3 linked regions of the Oryzias latipes genome follow. The protein of the gene in region 3 purifies or fractionates together with the protein of the main gene of each other region. This does not show direct contact. Links are inferred from orthologs where the notes say so. Each region holds a gene or a part of one and is shown on either strand. Other genes may lie near its edges.

Evidence for each region.
Region 1: the proteins of exosc8 (region 3) and mphosph6 purify together in Homo sapiens (affinity purification with mass spectrometry; 4 studies listed by BioGRID and IntAct, counting the BioPlex papers as one, with this or other methods). This does not show direct contact. The link is inferred for Oryzias latipes from reciprocal best matches to the Homo sapiens genes EXOSC8 and MPHOSPH6.
Region 2: the proteins of exosc8 (region 3) and dis3l purify together in Homo sapiens (affinity purification with mass spectrometry; 4 studies listed by BioGRID and IntAct, counting the BioPlex papers as one, with this or other methods). This does not show direct contact. The link is inferred for Oryzias latipes from reciprocal best matches to the Homo sapiens genes EXOSC8 and DIS3L.

What each region holds. Positions count from the first base shown.
Region 1 is NC_019864.2:5,685,002-5,689,302, forward strand, and holds the start of mphosph6 (M-phase phosphoprotein 6), read left to right. Parts: upstream 1-1,451; 5' UTR 1,452-1,636; coding exon 1,637-1,684; intron 1,685-1,725; exon of another isoform or gene 1,726-1,967; intron 1,968-2,075; exon of another isoform or gene 2,076-2,126; coding exon 2,127-2,239; intron 2,240-2,326; coding exon 2,327-2,417; intron 2,418-2,512; coding exon 2,513-2,610; intron 2,611-4,301. UniProt on the Homo sapiens protein: RNA-binding protein that associates with the RNA exosome complex. Involved in the 3'-processing of the 7S pre-RNA to the mature 5.8S rRNA and play a role in recruiting the RNA exosome complex to pre-rRNA; this function may include C1D.
Region 2 is NC_019861.2:584,698-588,248, reverse strand, and holds part of dis3l (DIS3-like exonuclease 1), read right to left. Parts: coding exon 3,500-3,551; intron 3,404-3,499; coding exon 3,236-3,403; intron 1,874-3,235; coding exon 1,795-1,873; intron 1,728-1,794; coding exon 1,548-1,727; intron 1,485-1,547; coding exon 1,413-1,484; intron 1-1,412. UniProt on the Homo sapiens protein: Catalytic component of the RNA exosome complex which has 3'->5' exoribonuclease activity and participates in a multitude of cellular RNA processing and degradation events.
Region 3 is NC_019872.2:10,272,711-10,276,856, reverse strand, and holds exosc8 (exosome complex component RRP43), read right to left. Parts: upstream 2,840-4,146; 5' UTR 2,785-2,839; coding exon 2,768-2,784; intron 2,498-2,767; coding exon 2,461-2,497; intron 2,082-2,460; coding exon 2,018-2,081; intron 1,930-2,017; coding exon 1,856-1,929; intron 1,668-1,855; coding exon 1,622-1,667; intron 1,242-1,621; coding exon 1,136-1,241; intron 1,040-1,135; coding exon 994-1,039; intron 922-993; coding exon 825-921; intron 680-824; coding exon 559-679; intron 484-558; coding exon 377-483; intron 291-376; coding exon 172-290; 3' UTR 76-171; downstream 1-75. Other genes in the region: alg5 (dolichyl-phosphate beta-glucosyltransferase), read left to right, coding at 3,770-3,835. UniProt on the Homo sapiens protein: Non-catalytic component of the RNA exosome complex which has 3'->5' exoribonuclease activity and participates in a multitude of cellular RNA processing and degradation events.

The sequences.
Region 1 (4,301 bases), on a different chromosome or scaffold from region 3:
AAATATTACAAGTTATTTAGGGTTTAAGTTAACTTGTGTTCCTGTTTTTATGCATATTTATGTTAAAAAAGTTCAGTTTAAAAGGTTTAAAAGTTTAGCTTTAGTGTGTTCAGTAAATGTTTATCTTCTTCGGCCAAAAACCTTAAGCGTGTTTGACTGAGTTTGACCCCCCTGTAATACGAGTCTAGAAAATGCATGCATTTTTTATGTAAAATTGCTAAAAAGAAGATAGGTAACACAACAGGATGTTGTCAAATTTTGTATGTGTGCGGGGGGGGGGGGGGCGCCTGTGGGGTTACTCGCCCAGGGAGTAAGTTAGTGTAGAACCGCCACTGCATTAGCATGATACAAACTTTCCATGTCTTTTACCCTGCAGTTCATCATCATTCCACTAGGGGCAGCAGAATGGCTTTTACTGTATTGCTTATTGCAAAATGGCCGCCTCTGTGACATATCCATAACACGTTTGGCAGGGAAGTTTAGCAAATGTTTATGGTGAAAATAACCCATCTATTGTTATTCATTTTCAAACGCTGGCGAGGCTCGCCTCCCTGGAAGCTTTTTCTCCGCCCTTACAGTCATCGCTCTGACCGTACTCTCTGTTACAACTGAGTCCTGCAGTCAGACATGACGCGAAGCGCTCCAGAGCCTCACCCGGAGTTTCTGCTCCCTATGTGAGCGCACAACAGTCAAATTCTGCAAATTTAACCTCAGAAACTGTGGGAAATGTGTCGAGTCAACTGAAAATGTGTCTTTAATACGGATCAGAGGAAAATCATATTTACTTAGTGTACGTTTTTCTATTTTATCACATTGACCAGTGAGGCCGAGCTTCACTTGCCTCATCTGATCACATGTCACTGTTGAAGTTGACATTTTTTGTACCACCTCTATGCTTTATTGTAAACTTAAGATGTTCCAAATAAGTCTGACGAAGGATACAGTTAGCATACTTCCTACACTACTAGGCCTATAGTAGATTTGCTCAATGCATATACAAGTATCTTACTAAAATAAACTTCAAGTGTACTATGGTACTTTTAACTAAAGGTTTTCTAGAGTTCCACGTCTCTCTTTTTAAGTCAAAACAGAAAAAAATAAAAATAAATTATTGACCTGTGTTTTATCTTTCGTCTTATGATATGACATGCTTATCTTTTAAATTAATTTTCAATTATGTTTTTACAAAATGTAGGCTACTTCGGTACAATCAGCGATTGTTGTAAAGCGACTTACAAATAAAGTTTTTGGAATGTTTGCCACGTGACCCGTTGGGTTTTGTTGACTGTCGTGTTTATTACTGTTTATCTATAATGTGTTGTGTTTATTTTGTTGTAAACTACACATCAAACGCATTTCCGTTGATTCACCTGTTCTTTAGCTTGCACTTCACTGTTCTGTGATCAAAAATTACCTGTAGGATAAATACATAACTTAAGGAAAAGCCTCGATTCCTCGGTGCTTGATTAATCAGGCCTGCCTGAATTGCGCATGCTCGACTTTTGACAACATGTCTTTTCCGGCGCGTGGGGCGTTTGTTCTGCTGCAGTAACCAAACCAACGACGTCCTACGGTTAGGTTGAATCAGTTAAGGTTAGTTTAGCGCGGATAGTCTGTTTGTGTTAACCGGAGAAAGATGGCTGCCGACGGAGTGAAACTCTCCAAGAATCTGCTGCGCATGAAGGTACATGCTAGCACCATTAGCTAGCTGCGGCGCGAGCCGCTAGCGTCGATTCATTTTGTTGGCTCCAGAGTGAGAGAAATGGACCAGAACTGATGTTCGTGTCCATAATTCTGCCTCTTGTTCTTCATCCTTCGGCAGGGGCCTGTCTTATCTCCATTCAAGGATCTTTCTGGTTGAATTTGTCAGAGCTGGGCATAGTTTGGGGCTTGACTGTTTTGGTTGGTCTGCTTTCGACTGAAAGGTGGTCATAACTAGTTAATAGGTTAAGAATGACGAACCACAGGTGGGTTAGATTTAGTTTGGTGCTCGGTTTCACATAGTTGCATTGTAAACCTTTAAGACACGTGATCACCTGGGTGGACTGACTCTCGTGAGGTATACTGTACTGCAGATGAGAGCGTGCACGTAGGCGTATGCATGAAAGTGTCATCTGTGGCTGCAGTTCATGCAGAGAGGGCTGGATGCAGAGACGAAGAAGCAGCTGGAGGAAGACGAGAGGAGGATCATCAGCGACGAGCATTGGTATCTGGACCTGCCCGAGCTCTGCACCAAAGAGTACGTGTCTGTGCTCGTGCACGCCTCGCCTGCAGTGGTGTGAACACCTGTAGGTGTGGATGATGGTGACCTCTGCTCCTTCATCAGGACTGTGCTGGTGGAGGAGGAGAGCTTCACTCCCTGTGAGGACTTGCAGTTTGGCCGGATCTCCTTCAGAGGCTTTAACCCAGAGGTTGAGGTGAGGTTCAACCTACAACCGTGTGCGTGCGCACGTGCGTGTGCATGCGCACGTGCGTGTGCATGTGTGCTCTGACCTGTCAGTTGTCCTCACAGAAACTGATGACCTTGTTGAATCCAAAAGATGAAGATGAAGAGGAGAAGGATGTGAGCTGCATGCAGACAGACATCACAGATGAGGAGATGGCTCTGAGGTACACTTCCTCTTCCTCCTGTCCTCCTCAGATGTTATTTGATAGGGTTGCTCTTTGCTCAACAGATCGGTTCCAGTTCTGGATCCAGAGCCTGACTGGTGCCAGGACTGGAACCGGGTCTAAAACGTCGACCCGCTTCATGTCGATCATATAAGCTTTGGGGGCGTGGCTACACAGCCGCAGGAAGAGAATGGAATCTGCTCTGTAGTGGTCTAAACTCTACTCCATCCTCGGGTAGTTAAGCTGATGATAAAGAACTCATTTGGCTCAATCCATCAAACACTTCATTTGTGGAGCGTCTTTCTTCAACGTGCTTAGAACACAAGGTGTTTGACATAAAAAACAAACAGGTTGAAATTATAAAAAGTCATAAAACCAGCAACAATCAAGAGGTGAACATAAGATGGTAGAAAACTGTGGCTACTAGTTATTGTTGAGAAGGCGCTCTATAAAGAGAGTAATAAAAGTACAAACGATTAACAATATAAGCCATGAAATACTTTAGACCCAAATAAATAATTGAATTAAATGAAGACGTTTTTGAGAATTTACATGAACATTTACAGTGAAACTCTCCACAGATGCAGAAACTCTCAGATCTTCAGGTTCCACAGATGAGGACCACGGTACTGAAATGAGGCCTCAATGTGGGTCCTGGTCCTCAGTTTTTCGTTTAGATAAGAGAGCAGAACCTGAGGATCTGAGAGTTGTGGAGGTTTTGGAAGGACCTAGATCTGATAAATAGGAAGGTCCCAATCCAAAAAGACATTTATAAACTAGAAGGAGAATCTTCAAATCATCCAGAGGCTGACAGGAAGCCAGGAGGGATGTGAGCTCTGAATTCTGGACGAGCTGGAATCTATTCATAGATTAAAAGAGCATCACAAAAGTCCCGTCTAGATATGATAAAAGGCAACATTGTTAAAGGAATACAAGCAGTCTTAGTTGTGTTTGATATGTGGATTTTAAAGTTAAGATCTTCCTACATTTATACCAGAGTTTTGAAGTGAGTGTGGCTTCAGGCCCAAGGATCAGTTTCTGTTTGGTCCTTGTTGAGTTTGAGAAAATTAGCTGTCGTCCATTCTATGACATCACTAATATATTTAAGAGGTTTGTCAATGGGATGTAGGCCACACTGGGAGAAGCTGTGGAAGTCTACATCCTAACGTCATGAAGTGTAGCTTAGTGACGTTACCCAGTGGGAGCCTCTACAAGTGAACCCTTTAACACTGGAGATGTTGCCAGTCACATCTAAATAACAGATTCTTTCAACTACCGTTACTCTTCAACCGTTTACGGCTTTTCACTGATATGCCAAACATTTTGCAAAGTGTTGAATATTCTGTTGATTTCTAAAATAGTTATTTTTACATTACAATTAAGTAATTCATCTTTGTCATGTGCTTTACTGATATTTCAAGATTCTTAATTCTGTCTGATAAAAGCTAGAAACCGGATATTGATAAATCATGTAATAAAATGGTTATGGTATAACGGGGTGGGATTATGTAAGTTCGCTTTCTTTCTCTCCCTTTCTAGCAATATTTATTAATATGCCTCATTATCCTAAGTTTGATTAGTTGTTGTATGAATGTATAACTGATTCAATGATTGTATTGCTTTTGTGTGTTATTTCGAATTAATTGCTTGAAATAAACCATTAAAAAAAAAAAAAAATCTAATAGTCAGCT
Region 2 (3,551 bases), on a different chromosome or scaffold from region 3:
GAAGATGAAGAGGAGGAAGACTTCCATGTTTCAGGGCACAGGAGGAAGATGAAGAGGAGGAAGACTTCCACGTTTCAGGGCACAGGAGGAAGATGAAGAGGAGGAAAACTTCCATGTTTCAGGGCACAGGAGGAAGATGAAGAGGAGGAAGACTTCCACGTTTCAGGGCACAGGAGGAAGATGAAGAGGAGGAAGACTTCCATGTTTCAGTGCACAGGAGGAAGATGAAGAGGAGGAAGACTTCCATGTTTCAGTGCACAGGAGGAAGATGAAGAGGAGGAAGACTTCCATGTTTCAGTGCACAGGAGGAAGATGAAGAGGAGGAAGACTTCCACGTTTCAGGGCACAGGAGGAAGATGAAGAGGAGGAAAACTTCCATGTTTCAGGGCACAGGAGGAAGATGAAGACAGCTCTCAGTGACTTTTACGTTCATGTTTTTTACCCAGCCCTGTTAGTGCGGTTACTACCATATTGCTGCCGCGTCAAAGGCACTGTTTGGAAAGAAAAGCCAGGTATGTCATTAAAACTTTGAAAACTCTTTCTGCACCGTCTTTCTTTGTAGATATCATGTGTTGAACCTTTCCTGCATTACTTTTTTCTTTCTTTCCTCTCCGCTGAAGGTGGATCTTCCTTTGTTTGTTCACTTCCCTGTTTGGACCCTCAGAGCCTCCAGAGTGGGTTAATAAAGGATCATCTTCTCTGGGGGAAACCTTCTTTTATTACAGTTCTCTTTCACTCTGTATATCAACCTCTCTGTATATCGACCTGAGGGTTAGCCCCTAAGACTCATGGGAAGTGGGGAATCGTGGGTGTAAAGTTCCTCACCATGACTGAGGGGGCTGTGAGCAGGAGTGACCTCCATGCGGTTTGGCTGTTTGTGTGCATGAGTAAATGAATAGGCTATAATGCTGAGCAGGTTAAAATGCTGGAAAGGAGAAAATGCAGCCTCTGTCGGCCTCTCCCTCTCTAAAACTGTTCAGAGACAGGGGAGGGACTGCTCAGCCACGGCTAATATACAGGGGCGGCTTATTTGTATATAAAATGGTTTATCTTTTAATGATGTAATGGGTGTGGCTTGTAATCAGGTCCGCTCTATAGCCCGGAATTTACGGTATTCACATGATTCTGATGCAGTTCACATACTGTCAAATGTATTAGTGGAATAATAAACCAATGAGGTTGGTAACACCATACAGTGTTCCATGATTTCTCAAACAGAGAAGCTCCAACTAAAAGCTGATAGGGTTTGTTCACAAACCGTGTCATAGTTTTCAGAAACTTCACAGAAGTAGGATGAAGATGTTAGGGGTTGGTTTTTTGTTCCACCTATTCTGGACATCGTGAAAACAAGAGAGGATCTTTAACCCTTCCAATTCAGCTTTGTTTGTGCCTTCTGTCTTTCTCTGATTCACCTTGATCGTGTCCACATTTCTCTGCTGTGCAGCGTTGCATATCGGCGCTTTTCTCCACTGGAATCGGTTTCACTGCAGAAAGGGCGGTCAAAAGGCTGTAAGGGGCAGAAGCTCCGGGGCAAAGGGGTCTCCCACCTGTTGGCATGGGCTTTTCCTGGCCGTCGTCTGGACTCCTGTCGTCCCCCTGTCCCTCTGTCAGAAGCGTTGCTCTCCCCCTCCACTCGCTCCTCGGCAGCAGCTCCACCACGACCACGTCTCCGTGCACGGCTCTGTTGCGGTTCTTGCCCCCGTGCACCAGCACCCCCGAGCTCAGATCTGACGGGACAGAGAGGCTGTGGAGGGTCGTTCAGCAGGAACAGACGCCCCCCTGAGCCGTTCTTACCCATGGCCTGGCTGGACGAGCCCTCCGTCTGAACCAAAGCTTCGCTCTGGGCTCGGTGTTTGTTCACGCTCAGAGTTCCCTAACGGACCACAGAGGAAACAGGAAGAGGCTTTCTGATGGGGATGTGAGGAGCATCTGTTCATGAATCATGAATGATGAAGAGCAAAAACAAAAGGCGCTTTTTAAATGAAGCTGGTCTACAGCCGCCGCTCAGGAAGATCCTGGACTGCAATTCTCTTCCTTCTTTGGCTGTTGAACTTGCATAGTTTTATTTGTGTGGTTCAGGAAGACAGACCAGACGGTCATTTCTGTTCCTTTTGGTCAAGTAGAGCCGTTGACATTTGACTCCGTTCTGTTGGTTTATCATTTCGGCCTTCGCAGAAGCAACTGTCCGACGTGAAGCTGAGGACGTTTCAGGCTTCCACGTCGTGCGTTAATTTCTGTTATACCATGGTCCGGGTGAACACTCGATTCTGATTGGCTGCTGGGTATGCGTTAAAACCTGATAACCGCACAGTGAAAAAAGAAGTTCCGGTCGGCTAGCTTAAATGATTTGTATCACTGCGCCGGCTTCTGTAAAACAACCTTTTGCTTCATCATCGGGGCAAAAACAAGCGGTAAGCGATTAACTTTCCCTCTGAATTGATGCTTTATTCAACCCATCGGGACGATCAGCATATATATATCGCCGAAACTTGACTGCAGCGGTGGTACTGCGCGACGCGGACTATATGTTATATATATGTACTATATGTTACGTGATGCGGCGCGATGCACTTCGCGGAAGCAACCGTCCTCCGCTTCGCGTCGGACGGTTCAGGCTTCCACGGCGTGCGTTAAAAAGTAGTAACCGCACACTTCGAAGGCCATTAACCCTTACATAATGCACACTTGGAAGTCGTGAACCCGCTTAAACCACGGTCACTTACAAAGGAAATAAATATTTAACCAGCTTTTTAGTCCTTTATCCTTGTTATTTTTTTGGTTTGGATCGCTTTTTCATAAAAAGTGGACTATTTGCTAAGGAAAGCCATATGTATGCTGGTGGTCACGACAGTTAAATAAAGCATCAGTTCTCCTCTTCCCGCTTGTTTCTGTCCAGATGATGAAGATAAAGTTTGTTTTAAAGGAACCAGAGCAGTGATACAGAACATGTATGCTATGTGACCAGAACCACTATTTTAGGTCTACATTATCGCTGTGATTTATCATGTTTTAATGCAAACCCAGCAGCCAATCAGAAACCAGAATTCACCCAGACCGTGGTATAATACATGGTAAACTGTCTTAGCAGCTTTGTTCATGTATTTCTGATGGGCGGACTGATTTGCATTCGAGTTTCTCATTTAATAATATAAAAGGTTAGCCTCAAATCCTGAAGGACTTTATACAAATATATTCCCGTCTTTCATCTGGTCTATTGCCTCTGCAGATTCAGTACCTGGATGTAGCGTCCAGACTTGATGCCAGCCTCCATGACCTCAGCAGGCAGATGTTCAGGAAACTCCCTCTGCGAGTCCTCAGCCTCCCTCTCCTCCAACGCCTGAGAAATGGAGGCGTAGAGCTCCTGAGCCGCCTGCAGATCCGGCCAGAAGTTCTGCAAATAATCCTGAAGAAACGGGTGGATGGATTCAGGAGCATGTCGTCCATGTGGACCAGACGGTTGAAAGCAGCTCATTAGCTGAAGAGGACGGGCGCCTCTCACCTGGACCGTGACGACATAAACTCCTGAGTGAAGGCTGCTGTACTGAGCAACA
Region 3 (4,146 bases):
GCATATTCTTACAAGACATCAGCTGAGCGTGTGTGAGAGAGGTTTCTGAATATTGAGAAATAATTTTTTAAGCAGTCTTTGTCAGCAGTTTTATTGTTATTAAAAAAAAAAGAACATATATATTGACAGTGAAAATACAGCTTTTAGATAAAAGTCTTGGTCTGGGTGTCTTTATTGTGCTGCCTTCACGCTGTTTAGAACTTTCTCGATGAGTTTCTGGATCTCTCTTTGTCGTGCTGTTGCTCGGTTGATGCAAGTTTGGAGCTTTTCTGCTGACAGGGACGTCCCACCTGAGGCGCAAAGAACCGGGTTTCAGCTCCGTATGATTGGAGTTATTGTGTTGATCGCCGGAAGCGCACTGCACGGCCTGTCTGACCTGGTTTGTGTAGAGAGCAGAGTCGTTCCTCCTCATCTGTGACCACGCTGAGCCGCGATGTGGACAGACTCTCCTCATCAGCGGTGGGATCTACAATCAGGATGGAGCTGCACAAAGAGCACGCTTGGTTTGTACACATGCTTTCAACAAACCCAGAAAATGCAACAATATCTAAAACGTACTCCTGGAAGATACAAAACGAGGTGCCGACTGGATGTTTGTGAACCGGCAGCTCGTGTCGCTCTTTCAAATCTATCTCTGGTTTGCATGTCGCTTTGTTGACGGTGACCTTTGGGAGACGAGCTGTGGGAAGTGAAAAATGCAAAATCAGCCTGTTGATAGACTCCTTTCGGGGCAATTTTCAATTTTAAAACACGGATTAGTTGGTTAAAATGTACAGAATAACTTTAATTATTTTTTTTTTTTTTTTACTGAAACAATGACGTACTGTTCTTCAGTGCAGCCAGCAGAGCAATGATGCACGCATCCAGAATGTTTCCATCATAATCCAGACACATGATGTCACAGTACAGCACCCAGCAAAGCTGCAAAGAGGATAAATAGACTCACCGCTAGTGAACCAACAGTGAAAACAAACGGCATCAGTCTGGATTTACCTTTCCTCTGTCGATGCACAAGTCCTCTGGTTTGATTATTTCAGAGCTGCAAAGGTGGATGGAAGTTGGTGAAAACCATTGGGAGAAATGCAGATAAACTGATGAGAGTAAAGAGATTGTAGTGTTTTTAATTCTGACAAACCTTTCGATGACATCAGCGATAAACTGGCTGGAAGCTTGGGCCTGTTCTCCTGGCGGGCCTGGCCGAAATCGCGAGGAACAGAGGGGTGGTAGGTCTACATTGGGGACTATAAATAACAGGAAAAGTCCAATGATTGGGATTATTTTTCCACTTAAAAACTTGTGCTTTTCAGTGACAACCCTTGAAGCTAAAAATAGAACAAACTCGTATCCATCATGGATAATCCTGAGCATCCTCTGCCTGCCGTACTGGATGGACAGTTGAGTGCCTTTCCAAGTGCTGCTACGATGACTGCTAAAGGAGCTCATTCCTGTTCCACGACATAGGACTGTTTAACTCATCTTTGTGCCAGAGATACGCTGCATTCATCATTGATTTTTGATAGTTGCTTCTCTGTACAAGCTAAGGTCTGCACACTACTGCTACAAATTTAACAAGTTGGCATCGATAAAGTATCTTTAACTATTTTTATCTATAAAAACTTACCAATATATCCTTTACCAGGAGCTTCCACTGTAGGGTTTGCCAATTCCTGCAGAATAGATCAATGTATGACACAGGAAACAACTTGCTAAATGTACAAACACTGAAAGAAGTGGTGGGGGGTTAAGAAATATTCACATAGATCTGTTTTATTTTTTAACTGTACACCTTTTAAAACAAAGGCATCTGGAATAAATTATTAAGAGTGAGTTTCAGTGTAATAACATGTTAACACACAGCTTTGATGCCACAGATGACTGTTGTGCTTCCCAGCTTCACCAATGCAGAGCCGTCTGCCGTGGATATGGACCCTGAACACAAACCCAAAAGAGAAAAGTGCTCAATGATTGTTGTTTGCTTGTATCATAAACACTGCAACTTTGTGGTGCTTCAATTCACCTATATTCAATGTCGTGGTTCTGAATTCAGACAGCTCGCGTCCATCTGGTCGACAGTTCTCTTTCTATGGGGAAAATAAATAAAGTTTTAGATTCAAATTGATATGAGTGTAACATTACAGCGTTACAGTAAAGTTGAAATATTAATTTCTGGAAAGTTCTTAATTCATAACAGCAGATTTTTAAAAAGCAAACCATTTAATACATTTCATTAAGAGATTTGTTTATGTTTCAACTCCCTGAAATTAATGAAAAACAAAAACGCAATAAAACTGTCCATTTTTATTGAAGATCACATGTTGTATGGCAATCCCTAGTATTGTGAACTACAATTTTAACGTTTTTTTCCTTTTTATTTCTTTCTGTTGTAGTTATGTGAATGTGTGTGTGTGCCATATTTTGACAATCTAATAAAAAAATACATAAATAAAAAATTGGACAAACCAGAAAGCTCATATGATATTCCAGAGGTTCAGCGGTCCTAAACAGTCATGAGGGAAGACAGAAAAGGTAAATGCATGTACAAAATCACGTACGTTTAGTGTTATGTTGATAAAATAAAAAATAAATTCTTAGCGGCAATAAATAGAAACCCAATTTACTAACGGACATAACCTAGACTTTGTGATTTCTCCACTTTGATTTAAAGTACAGCAAATAATTCATTTTCTTTATGTAAAGTTAAAAAGTTAATTTAAACGAAAAAAACGCCGTAAATTACATAAAACCTGAACAACTTTCAGATACTGACTTGAATCCAGCCGCCATGATGTTTTGGTACAACACGTGGGTTTGTGCTACGGCAGCCGCAATGGGGAAAAAACCTCGTCCATGCTGTGCTGAACCTGAACACTTTTTTCTTCTTCTTCTTTTAATTTAGGGACGATAAAGATCCGCTTTTTACTGTATTATTTTTTTGGCGTACCCAAATCCAATTTCCAAAAATATAAGTAACTAATAAAGAAAGTGCTACTTTAAGCTTTTAATAATTTACCATTCATGTTTTATTGTTTTTTGTTTTTTTTCTTCCAGATTTTCCTTCAAGTTTTAAACTGTTCTCGTATTTGGGGATTTATTTATTTCATTACTACTGTCTTGTTGATTTTGTGTCATCTTAAAAAGATATTAATATAAATATTATTTCTATTATATTCATTTTGTTAACACCTGTATTAATTTGGTTTTAAACTACATTAAACCATAAAGAAATGATAAAACTGCATTAACCCTTTTTTACAGGCTTGACAATTTTTAATCTAATTATTTTTCTTTTTCAGTTTTTAGTTATAGTTGTTGGTTAGTCTTTTCTTTTTTTGTCTTTCAGACTTTGACATTGCTGCTTCAAACGTTAGGGTTAGCAATGATCATAAAATATATGCATGAAAAACAAAACCTGTTGTTTGGTTGTTCAAACAAACAAACTAAAAACCTGCTAGTGTCAGTACCACCCCACGCCTGTAAGTGGCAGTATGCATTTCTCGCAGCCTGTCATGTGGAGTTCTGCTTCAAACTGATGATGTGTCGAGGAGTAAAATTTACTTCCGTGTTGCTTTTGTGTACAGCTCTGATTGGAAGTGGAGCTTGAAAGCGTTATGGGCTCATAGAGATTCAGTGTTTATATTTCATATATTTTCGTTTACACCTTTGTTATAAGTTAGAGGGTTGGGATACGGAACGGGACAAAGAAGAAAAGCTAGCTACAGCCAGCCAGGTGTAGGTGTTAGTTAGGAGCTGTAGGGCGACTTATGGAAACATGATGGACTTTATCTGTGAAATTATTCAAGTTCTCGTCGCATTAGCGGCTCTTGGTTTCATTGTGGTAAGTGTATGGATAGTTTTAACATTGTTAGTAATGTAACTAACTTCTTAGCACGTGTAAGATAGCGATTTTCACATGTATGTACTAGTACTCCATGGTTTCTGTGTGTGTGTGTGTGGGTGTGTGTGTATGTATGCATGATGGCTGCATTTTCTTTTATTTAAACGTGTCATATCAAAATAGAAATATTAATATACAATGGAGGGGGAAATTATTATGTAAATACAGCTCCTTAATCGGAGTAAAACAAACAATAAAAAGGCAGAAAAAGAAAAGAAGTTGTGAGGAGCAACACTGGCCTATTCTTTTTT